Arabidopsis thaliana: one gene and its partner. The protein of the gene in region 2 interacts with the protein of the main gene of each other region in a pairwise test. Each region holds a gene or a part of one and is shown on either strand. Other genes may lie near its edges.

Region 1 (8,056 bases), on a different chromosome or scaffold from region 2:
CTCCCTATCTCCACTGAAAAGCAATCCTTTATCAAACTCGTGAGTTCGATCAACGAGTAGAGTTTCAAGATCGAGAGGATTTTCATCTTCTCCATCTGAATTTACTTCAGGGGCAAGATTGTAACATAAATGAAACTTGAACATCAAGTTTTGGGTTCTGCCAAAATCGCCTTCATCGTTATAGATCGGATAATAGTAAACGAAGCTGTCGGGGTCTGGATTGACAGCATCAAAAACCATGATTTGTTCGGAAAAATGGGCGTTTTGATATTTGGTATTTAGGGTTTTGAGGCTTGATAAGACTTGAAAATGAAAATGAAAATATAGAATCCTCTTTTATGCGGTTTCCTTATCTTAGTAGGGTTTTCTTTCAAAAAAAAAAAAGTGACGAGAGGATATAGAGAAAGAAACGATCATAGTTTTTTAGTCTAATAATATTATTCCGAATCCTGAGAGCTATCAGAGTCAAGCTGTTCATCAACACAAAGCAACATCTCATCGCTAACATTATTTACTACTCCTAGTCCTAGACCACTAACTTCTTCTAAAGCTGCAGAGGAAGAAGAAGCCCTTGTCGTTTCTTTTCCTTCTTCTGATAACTTTGATACATCTTTCTGCAAACATTCTTCTTCTTCTTCTTCTCCTATAGAGACTACTGTTGTTTTATTTGGCCTATCATTGGCATTGCTGTCTCGGCTTGGGTTCTCTGTTTCTGAAGTTGGTTCTGTTTGATCGGCTCCGAGTGGTACGGGGAAGCCTGGGGATGGCTCATCATCTGAACCTGCTGGAACCATCTGATCACAGCTCTCAACTTGGGTACTCATGGGAGACCCGGCTTTGTCTAGACCTGGCTCTAGATCTGCTTCTTTGTTTGATGGGTTATTGCGTTCTTTAGAAAGACATACACCTGTACAGGAGCAAAAATCAAATGAAGTTCGTTCGAGAGAGAGGGAGAGAGGAGTTGGCTTTACCTTTCATAGTGCTGGGTTTTGTGCTCTCGTATAGTGTTTTCTTGAGCAGAGTTGTCCCAGGGAATACCATCAAGTTTATTCTTTTGAGAGCATCACGCTCTTCATCATCCATGGGTTTGAAGCCAAAACCTTCAGTCCAAGTTTCCACTAAACTCGGCAATGCAGCTACCACAAGCTTCTCCACTTTGAGAGACATAAGCATCTGCAGCCAAAACCAATGAATAGTTTTATCTATTGATAGCCCAGGGATCAAGACAAGACTGGAAGAGAGATCATATGAGCTAAGGGATTATCAAGGTCAGCATATGAGCGGTGCTGTATGTCTATCATTGTACTAAGTTTAGACATTATTAATGTGGATGTAGCTTCAAGAACAACCACATGGTTACATTCTAAATATCGTACCTCTTCAATGGCAGCCACGAGGATTCTACACATGCCCTGTCGGCGATATTTGCTGCACGTAGCTACAAGAGGCATCTCTGCAATAGTTACTCCGTGCACCCTGGATATAGTAAAATGGGGTTTATATGTAACTCGTTCCAGTGGATGGAAGTGAAAGAATAGTTCTAAGCATCCATTTGGTGATAGTGTCAAATTTTGTTTCATTGCCTGGAGGTTCTAGAAGACATACCAAACACTTTGATAGCCATGAGATTACTGTTTTTTCAGCATGAATTCGAGTTTCTTCATACTAACCTGATAGATGCTACTGAGATCATCACATCATCCTTTTCCACAACCACTGTGTAAAACCCATCAAAGTCTAACCGAGCAAATGTTGACCTTTAAGTGCAACAAAGATTCAAAAAAGGTAAGACAAAGCGATGAAAATGAAGAGCAGAACTGAAGGTACAGAAGTAACAAACAGAAATCTAAGTGTGCAAGCTAATGACAAAAGGACGTTACCCCCAGTTGTATAGCACATGAGGTATCATGTCAATACCAGTTCTTGGATCTACCATAGACAGAAAGCTTTCCTCCATAATTGATAGGGCAACAGCTAATTTCGAGTTGCATTCAGCCTTCAGCGCCAACCTTCGGGCAGAATGAACCATTCCATCTTCTTGAAAACATTTAAGAATTGACCAAGACAGACCATCAGCATTAGGGTTAATGATCCCAACACGAGAACTAAGACCATTGTACACCTGCATTACACGAGCTACTTAATGAGAACCTTGAAAGTTGTGAAGCAGCTGTAACATGCTAACATCTTCTTTGTTTATATGTCAAAGAGCCCAAGAGCAGCGAAAAATATACTATTATTCTCAATGTAAATTTAAAAACTACCCATTAGTTGTTTAAGTCACAGTGACTAGGTATGATTAATACCTTCTCGCAATTTTTACCACAAAAGTAGGTCTCTGGAAAAAGCTTTCTGCGTTTACTTATCCCTTGCAAACATGTTCCATGATCTGATAACATAAAGGTAACAATCATCAGCCAAAGTGGATTTCATACCAAAATAACTAATGTGGGATCCAACTGTCGCGAGAGGCATAACTCCAAAAGTGAGTTTTACAAAGTGTCAATTACTAAAGAAAGAAAATTGGAGAAGTGCTGAGCCTGGCAGAAAACCACCATCTACAACTGTTACTGATGAACAGTGACATCAATCGTGATAAAATCTCAGTGAGACATGATAGAAGAGAATTCAAATCAGGGGTTTCCTTTCATGTGATAAAGAAATAAATCATAGTTTCTAAGAGATTGCGAGCTGTAAGATGATTACATTTATGCGCACACTGGGAACATTTAAAGTCCTGAGAGCGTTCAGCATTATCACTAACCAACTCGCTGCATATCCAACATGTGCAGCTCGAGCAATACCAACTTCCTTCAGGGAGCACCTGGGTAGAAAAAGCAAAAGCAATACAGCAACTCTCTTTAGAGGGTACCAATTTAAGGTAAAATATCCTAGTTATACTAATGCCGTGTAAGTTACTAGAGTTGAATTAGTAAGAATCACAGAATCAGCCAAGAAGTTTCACCCATGTGTATGTTTTGCAAAGAGTTAATTACCGGGATAAATAATAGTTAAAATGTAAATATACCCTGGAATGAGTCAGACAATACCTGCATTGATAAGCACGCCTGATGGAAGGTAGATGGACAATTATCACAGCAGATCAGCTCACCCCCATCACCACAAACTCCACAAGAATCATCATTTGGATCATCATCAGAGGCTTTCTCTAATCTCCATCCATTTCTTCGCGCCTTATACTCAGCAGACCAAGCTTCCAGCTGACATGAAGCGAAAGGCTTTCCTGACCCCATGAAAAGATTCAGACATGGACAGTTCTGGTTAAATCCAGCATGGTTCTTGAATTCAGAAAGTGACACAGTCTTGTTGCAACATGTACAAACCACTCCATCTTTAGTTACCAGGCCTGTTTTTACCACAGTATCATCATCTGGATCTCGTAACTGGATTACTTCGTCTCTAGAAATTACTTTGGTAGCTATCAACCATGATAAGACAGTTCTAGGACCCAAAATAGACCAATTTCCTTGAAAAAAATGATTTTCCACATTGCTTGAGCTTCGGGGAAGCAACCTGCACCCTCCCCTATTGTTTCTTTTCTTTGTTCTAGCCTTTGGCTTCTGTGTTTTCTTTTTCTGGCTTGATCTGCTGAACTTACCTTTGTTTCTGGTTATTGTCGACCCCATAAGGTCATCATCTTGAGTATAGTGCTTCCTAGCTTTCTTTCTTCCTTTCTTTGAATTGCAACATGAATTATTCATCTTCTCATTCCTCAACCTTTCATCCCGACTTCCCTTTGAGACGAGGTGAATGTTGCCCATCTCTTTATCCTGGAATTCAAAGCTATTGAGAGAATTAGAATCTAGTGAATCATGTTGGTCCAAGGAAGCTGGTTTGATATCGGATATTTTCTTTGATCTTCTGTGTAAGTTCTTTCTCATAACACTTTCATGCATGTCTTCTGCTATCAATTTTGAAGCTACAATGCCCTTGCTAGCCTCCTGCTCATGAGTCCCAGAGATTTCCTTACCAATTATGCTCTGCCTCTCTAGTCTTGAAGAAACTTTTTGAGAGGAAATTTTAGTTTGCACCTCAAGATCTGAATGTATCTCTTGGTTAGCATCCACGTCATGAACAAGATGACTGCCTTCAGATACTGTCAGCACACTTTCAGGACAGCCTGAAATCAGGTTCAAACAAATTGTATCTTCTTTCTTCAACTTGTCTGGATTTGAATTCCTTGCAACTTCAACTTTATTTCCTTTTCTTAAAGAACCAACTTGCTTAGAAATGAAGACAACAACCACAAAAGGCTCTAAGGCACTCCACCAAAGTGCCCGTGTGTTAGCAAGATTTAAATTTTTCATGTTCTCCTCGATGTCCAACAGTGTAAGAGAGAGATCGGACCAGAAGTCATTAATACCAGTCCATTTCTTAGTACCAGTATCCATTAACTTACGATCAGCTAATAGGATCCCACCCAATGCTTTCCAAGCTGACCCAAATTCACGAAATTTCCGTCCCTCTGGCGATATGTAAAATGTGTCTACATGTTTCCTACCTGCTGATCTTTCGCGCTTCTCAATTTTCCATCTGGCAGCAGTTAGAACCTTACAGACATACTTGTAGAGAAGAGGACGGGGGTCCTCTTTAGGATCAATCTTTAGGCAGGTTTTAGACATAATTAACTCATTAGGAGATACTTTAGATCCGTTGTTCAACTGTAGCGGGAAGCAAGCCTTCTCACTATGCGGCGTAGAAGCACCTACAGAGATCATTCTGGTTGCGAAGCTCTCCTGAGAAACAGGAGAGGCAATAGCTTTAAATTCCTTTCCATCGCATTTGTCCAAGTTTAGTGACTTACACTTTCCAGACACAATGCCACCCAGATAAACTTCTCTTCCCTTTACTATGCTGTGCTTCAACAAATATGAGCTAGTTGAAACACCCTTGTTAGATGATTCAACTAAATGGAGAGGTATCGTCTCTCTAGCTATGTCCGAAGTTGGAAAACCATGCAAAGCAGATCCCTTTTCGTCCCTTGCATCCAAATGCTTATTACCTGAAAGCTTCACTCTCTTAGCTTTAGTGTTAAAATCTGAACCATCTCTTGAAGCAGATGCCTCAAAACCTTGTGGACATGCATATCCACTAGTTACCACAGAGTTGGAACTCAGAGAGGAATTGACATTCTTACTGGAATCACATTCGAAGTTAATGGCTCCAGTAACGAGACATCTTTTAGTAGTATTTCCAGGATCACTTCCAAAGAAAACTTCTCTGAATATCTGATGATCCTCATATGACCCTTCAAAGCAGTCACCTCCTAACATCTCAATCTCAGCTCCGGGAAGCATCTCCACAAACTAACTGCATATTCCACTTCACCTTAACTTAAAAGGAAGGTTGTAGATAGATACCTGCAATTATATAAAGTAATGAATAAACTCACAGAACCCAAAAGTTTGGAACTCGACATCCTAATCCAAAACACATACCCATAAGCGGAAGCGGATTCAAAACAAGATAAAATCAGAGATCCTTCTAGAAAGGCCAAAACTTTGAAGCCTAGAGCAAAACGATAGACCAGATTTCATGAAATTGAGATGTTATAATGACTAATTACATCCAAAAAGAAAGCTCAAAAATTGGGAAATGCAGGACATTACCAGCATGCAGAATGAAATCAGAGCTGTGAAATCGGAGAAATGGCTTCTTCTCACTGAAATAGACTCATTTCGTCGCCCTTATCCTCTCCAACCGCAAGTGGGAAACGCATTTTCATTCCATTTCACGTTCTCTGCACTCACACACTCTCTCTCCTTGATCTCTATCTCACACACAGAAAGAACAACAATTTGTCTATCTTTTTAGCTTTTTCTATAATTGTGGAAGAAACCCACCTCTGATTCGGTGTTAAATCTCTCAACCAAAATTCATCAGATAGATAAATTCTGACGAACTTTTTTTCACCTCTCTGAATCTGCCTCTATCACTTTGTTGTGCACAGTGTGTGTATACTTATTATTGGCTATTTCTTTCTCTTCTCGTTTTTTTTCTTTTTTTCTTTTCTATAAATTGTGTGCTGTCACCAAAAAGGCATCTTCGTGTTTTTATTTTATTTTTCCTTCGTTATACTGAAAAAGTCATTCTTCATTTTTCACCTTAAGATTCTGTCTCCTCTCTGATAACAACGGACCAGCAGTTATAGTATATGGAGTACTTAAATTCGTTTAATTACACAAATTAAAACCCAAATATTCGTCGTTTTTTTCTTCTGTTATCAAATTCTTAATCCTGTTAATGACGATCGTATCACTATAAGCCAATATTAATGACTATGGTTTTAAGTTCTTGACAAAGTTTTTTTTTACTAAATTCGCCACAGACAAAAACTGTTCTGACAAAAATAACAGACAAACTAAAATGAAAAAAAAGGTTAGCATATTTAATTGCCAGGTTTCTAACTGTTCTTCTGTTGTCGTTTTAAATCATTTCAGCTTATGTTTTTGTCCTTTAAAATTCAGTCATCACCGATTGTAACAGGTTTTGTCTTAATATGTATAATCAATATCTGTTAAGTGGATTGGATGCTTTGTAATTTGCGCGGGGAATCTTTACGTGTCTTAACGATAACAAATACTGTACTATCAAATAGGTGCATGCGATGATGGACATAAGTCGTATTTTAACCTATTTTGTTGTGTGAACAGATTAGTTATTGCATGTTTTGTATTAACTATATATAGGAATACGGCTCTGAATCTTTGTTTCTTCTTATTCGATTTTGATATATGAAAATTCCAAAAAGTACATGTACCAGTACGATGAAAACGACTGTGTTATGTGAAAGTATTTGTTTTTAAAAAAAAAAATATTTAGAGGGGATCAATTCTAGATACTTTTTTCATTTTTAAGGTTTAACTATGGTTAAAAAGAAACGATTCTTTTTTAAAAGGGTAGATGGTAGACCTCATTTGCTAATTTTGATCCACATAAGTCAATAACAAATAATTCGGCTCGCTTGCGAAGCTAATGCATGAGCCACGTGTTTTGCTTTATATTTGGCTTTCTGTATTGAGACATTCTTCTTCATCCTAATTGTGAATGGAATATGTTGGACCCAACGAAGCCATCAAACATGGTTAAAACACACAAACATGTGATTTAATCTAGTTTAATTTCGTCTATTACAATATAAGTGAATTTTGACACACATCCTTGGATTATATCTAAAACGTTAAGTTTGTTAAAAACACTTTGGACCGGATAATGGGTATTGATCATTTATTGTTTGTTGCATGTTGGGTTAGAAATTAGAGATCATAACAAAAATCATGATTTCAGGCTGTCCATTTTGAAAAATGTGTGTGTTTGTGTTAATTTGAATACACCGATTCATCCAAAAACCATCTGAACAGTCTCTTAATTAGTTTACCGTGTATATATATCATATTTATGGGATCATATTTGGTTAAGTTTAACTAGTAGTTTCAAATTTCGCGTTAATAGCTATTTGAAAGGGTAGGAGTACTTTTTCGACCGGTTAACACTCCCATATAAAGCCCATAAATTATTGGAACGCTACAAAATTAACAAAACATCTCTTCAGAAGTTCGTCCGGTTTACTCTACTACAAAGTACATGTATCAAAAACGACAACACGTGCTTCCACAAAATTAAGAACCAGGACGTGATGTCGTTGTTGTAATACTTTTTTCTCGCCAACTTCACGCCGTCTTAGTTTACCGAAACCAAAGTGGCTTTTTCTGATTTTATCCAATACAATGACGTGGAAAGACTCAAAAGAAGCTTTCGCCACGTTCCACCAATGAATGTTCGACACGTATCGTCGAGTTTCTTTTTCTTTATGCTTACGTCATCGCACACGTCTATCTTCTTTTGGTTAAAGTGATAAAAAGGAAAGTCGTAAATGGCTTCGTCACTGAGTCTTTCCTACTATTTTAACCCCATTAGTGACACTCCTTTCTTCTCCACTACACTCCATTTCTCTTTCTTCTTGACTCGACCATCGTTTCTCTAATCTCCGCAACTATGGCTTCATTTACGAAAACGGTGTGTGGGGTTTCACGAT
Region 2 (3,963 bases):
CTGGAGCTTACGTTAAGGTCTTGGAACCATACTGAGGAGAACAAGAGAAGGACGTTGCAGAAGAATGATATCGCGGCTGCGGTGACTAGAACTGATATTTTTGATTTTCTTGTGGATATTGTTCCTCGGGAGGATCTTCGTGATGAAGTCTTGGGTGGTGTTGGTGCTGAAGCTGCTACAGCTGCGGGTTATCCGTATGGATACTTGCCTCCTGGAACAGCTCCAATTGGGAACCCGGGAATGGTTATGGGTAACCCGGGCGCGTATCCGCCGAACCCGTATATGGGTCAGCCAATGTGGCAACAACCAGGACCTGAGCAGCAGGATCCTGACAATTAGCTTGGCCTAATAAACTGTGAGTTCTTGGTTTAGATTTGTGCTTTATCGTTACATGGACACAAAACTTGATTTGATTGTTCTTGTTTGTTTTCCGCAGAGCCGTCTAATTCGAAGCTCTCCCCGGTGGATCTACTCAAGAAGAAGAATGTTAATAGAAAACTATTGCGACATAAAAAGTTTGGTGTAGTAGAATAATTTCTGTTTTATGATCCATGGATTTATCTATTGTTATTCAGTTTGGTTTATCTTGTCATCAAACTGTTTTCGGTCAATGTAACAAATTCATAAACTGAGAATTGAACTTACAAAAGGCTAGATTACTACTTATAAAGTTCAAAGCTACAGTGATATTGTAAACTAACCAGTCCTTACACATAGTTTTCAAAATGGCTTAGCTCGAGTTTAAATAGTCCGTACTTATCCCTACCCATAACCAAAACCAAAAACCGACGCTTCCTATATCACTACCAAACGTTTACACAGTTTGTTTCTGCAAGTTTTTCATTACGACTCCTTCAAGAATTCCATCTGTTCCAAAGTTGCCAGAAAACTCGTGTGGATGGACAGGACCGGGGAGGCGGAACGAGACAGAAAAGTTACCGGGAGGGCAGAGACTCCGCGTTTGCATTTCAAACACATGAGAATACCGTTTAACTCGCTTCCCGCCTGTTGTAGTGACTCCTCTAACTAGTACCTTCCCATTGTCTTCTACTTCACAGCTAAAATATCCTGCAATATCTCACACTCATCAAATCAAGAAACTGGTTTAGTGGGATGAGAGATCTTCTAGATAAAGCAAAAAGTAACTCACTTTCATCTCTTTTCACACCAGGAAGCGATACACGGAAGAGATAAGCGTCATCACATTCACCAATGTCCATCAGTCCCACCATTAGTCCACCATGAGCTTCAGATTTCACCTCAGGTTTTGCAGCAACATCACTTTCTTCACCGCTAGTGCAAGTACCCGCATTATCCTCTTTCACAGGTTCCACGCTCTCATCAATCTCAACCTTAACCTCATTAGCTGCAACAACGCCGTTACTTTTAGTTACATCAACACTAAGGCTCAAAGCAAAGCTATCCAATCCCGTAAGCCGCTTAAACCGCGCAACACATTCTTCTCTCATACAAGAAGTATCTGGATCATTAATGAACACAATGCTCCGGATAAACTTAAACTTATGCCTAACATGGGTTTCAGGGTGCAATTTTCGCGGAAAAAGATCCACGAAAAGAGGGTAATCCCTGTTCGAATCATTGCGTTTCGCATTGAAATATTCACGTAACTTTTTCGGCTTCATGACTAGAGACGGATCAACATTTCTAATAATGTGATAATACACACGTTCTAGCTCAGCTCTCTTCATAAGTGAGCCACTTAACTCATCTACCACAACATTCTTCAACGCTTGAATCTGAAAAGCTGATTGCTTTGGACGATGATGTTGTTTTCTTAAATCTGGTCCAAAGTAAGTTCCTATGATGAAATGTAAGAGAAACAACTTGTCTTCTTCAATATCCAATGAAATTAACACACTTTCTTCTTGTTCTTGAGAGTTTTCAGCTACTAAAGGAGACACGATCTCAGGCATTGTATCACTCATATCCTAAACACACAACACAACATCAAAAGTTTGATTCTTTATGAGTGTTTATACAAAAAGATTGAAACTTTAATAGAAAATTTGAAAAATACTGGACATGCAATAAGAAATTATAACCAAATTGGATAAAAATTGGACACATTTCGTATCAAAATGGGTGGGAAAAAACGAAACTTTTTAAGGAGATTTAAGAAATTGAAGCAAATAGAAACATAATTTGTTGATAAATAAACGAAATTGAGATAAAATGTTACTAACCAGGAGTGTAAATTTAGGGTTGCTGCTTAGTGAATTTCGTTGTCTCTCATCAGAGAAACAGAAAGCGACTTGGGAAAAAAACTCAAGACATGGCAAGAAGAGGGTAAAAATGGTATTCTTTCGGCACTGATTTGTCCACGTGGCGATTATACCAAATGTACATCTTAAAGAAAATTAAGAGAAAAAAAAAAAAAAATCAACAAAGCTTCTCGGAGATTTTTGCCGGCGACTTCTGAAACATCGTCTCCGATGAGGTAAAGTAACTAATTTTTCTCAAAAATTCGTCAGTTTTGTTTCTACTCTTGCTCTTATATAACCCAAGTTTGTGTATTTTCGTTTGATTCTGTGAAAGATTTAATTTTTCTTTATGGGTTTTGTACATTTTCACTGATTGAAATTAGGTTACTTTTGGCTAAAAGTCTGAAACTTTGATGAAATACTTGTGTGCCAAACTTATTTTCAGGTTTAAAACTTAAACTTATGTCTAAGATAGTATAATATTCATTACTTGGCTAAACCCTTGCTTACAAAATTGGGTCAGACTCATGTGTGTATCTAACATTGTTGTGTAAGACCTTTTCGATAACATAAAAGAGGACAAATGATGAATGTTGCCTCTTCGTTTGTCTAATTTGTGGTCATGAAAGTATAAGAAGTTTCCGTTTGTATGAATATTCGTAAGCATTAATAGTGGTTATACATCACAAGACTTAGCTTGCTTATTGGATCTTAACCAATATAGTTCAATCTCTTGCTCTCTTACTGATTCTAGAATCTAGCTACCTCTATAGCCTTATAATGTTTCAAAGATTAAGCCTTTTTAGTCCGCTGCTGTTTTAAAGAATCGTTGTAGTTTCGTGAGTGATTCTGTTATATAGCGAATCTGAGTCAAGTGTATGATAAAAGGAATTGTTGTGCTTCAGGTCTTCAAGTGGTCTAAATGGGATGAGGGAAAACAACAGTTTTCCGGATAACACAAGGAACCCACAAATTCTTGAAGTGACTCCATTGAACAGTATGCCTTACATTGGTCCAGTAACTCATGCATCCATGTCGAGTAACAGGATGAATGATAGTGTAGAGAAAGTAGGAGGGCCTGCGATGATATTTCTGCCTTCTGACTCAAGTTCAGAGTTTTCTAACCTTATCAGTCAAACGAAAACCGGAGTTGCTCTCACGGGAAGTGCTGCAATGGGGAAGATTGGACTAACGATTGGGTTGGTTGATATTGCTGAATCCGAAGACTCATATTACTTTCGTGTTGCATTGCCTGGTGTTTCAAGGGATGAGAGTAAGTCTTACCACCTTTCCATATCTTTGTGAAGTTTCCAAATGACATGCCAAATTATCATTTCTAAAGCTAGTTAAAGATATTTGTTCATTCAGAGCAAATATTATTTGCACATAGATTTGAGAAGTTTCAGCCTTGTGTTATAAGTGTGTTTACTCAATTATTTCCTTGCACACGGTTTATAAGCGTGTTTATGAGGTGCTTTGAGCTTTGTTTCGTGTGCTTTTACTTGTCTTCTGCTGAATCTGACTTGTTAAATATGCAGAGGAATTCAGCTGCGAAATAGAACCAGACGGTAAGATTATGATAAAGGGAGCAACAACGACGGGGGAGCAGACAGTTTGCAAACACAATCAGATCTTCAAAATGCTAACACAGAACTTATGCCCACCAGGCCACTTCACCATCAACTTTCAGCTTCCTGGTCCTGTGAGCAATGAAGAATTTAACGGTAATTTTGGGTCAGAT

Evidence for each region. Proteins that work in one complex are often made in the same cells at the same time.
Region 1: the proteins of AT1G54840 (region 2) and ROS4 interact in a two-hybrid assay, tested with the Arabidopsis thaliana proteins (3 studies listed by BioGRID, with this or other methods).

What each region holds. Positions count from the first base shown.
Region 1 is NC_003074.8:5,039,494-5,047,549, forward strand, and holds ROS4 (Acyl-CoA N-acyltransferase with RING/FYVE/PHD-type zinc finger protein), read right to left. Parts: upstream 6,033-8,056; 5' UTR 5,836-6,032; coding exon of another isoform or gene 5,617-5,835; intron 5,530-5,616; exon of another isoform or gene 5,460-5,529; intron 5,382-5,459; 5' UTR 5,319-5,381; coding exon 3,051-5,318; intron 2,825-3,050; coding exon 2,707-2,824; intron 2,390-2,706; coding exon 2,307-2,389; intron 2,123-2,306; coding exon 1,881-2,122; intron 1,758-1,880; coding exon 1,671-1,757; coding exon of another isoform or gene 1,661-1,670; exon of another isoform or gene 1,477-1,660; coding exon 1,377-1,476; intron 1,174-1,376; coding exon 972-1,173; coding exon of another isoform or gene 925-971; exon of another isoform or gene 908-924; coding exon 438-907; 3' UTR 319-437; downstream 1-318. Other genes in the region: AT3G14970 (RING/U-box superfamily protein), read right to left, coding at 1-240; AT3G14981 (uncharacterized protein), read left to right, coding at 5,617-5,835; DJ1A (Class I glutamine amidotransferase-like superfamily protein), read left to right, coding at 8,017-8,037. UniProt on the Arabidopsis thaliana protein: Histone H3 acetyltransferase that binds methylated DNA at chromatin sites lacking histone H3K4 di- or trimethylation and catalyzes H3K18 and H3K23 acetylation. Prevents the transcriptional silencing of transgenes and of some endogenous genes.
Region 2 is NC_003070.9:20,451,987-20,455,949, forward strand, and holds AT1G54840 (HSP20-like chaperones superfamily protein), read right to left. Parts: upstream 2,281-3,963; 5' UTR 2,205-2,280; intron 1,950-2,204; 5' UTR 1,947-1,949; coding exon 1,151-1,946; intron 1,069-1,150; coding exon 815-1,068; 3' UTR 607-814; downstream 1-606. Other genes in the region: NF-YC3 (nuclear factor Y, subunit C3), read left to right, coding at 1-339; AT1G54850 (HSP20-like chaperones superfamily protein), read left to right, coding at 2,454-2,458, 3,128-3,495, 3,761-3,963. UniProt on the Arabidopsis thaliana protein: Prevents DNA hypermethylation and transcriptional silencing of transgenes and of some endogenous genes. May act as a molecular chaperone of IDM1, regulating its H3K18 acetylation activity.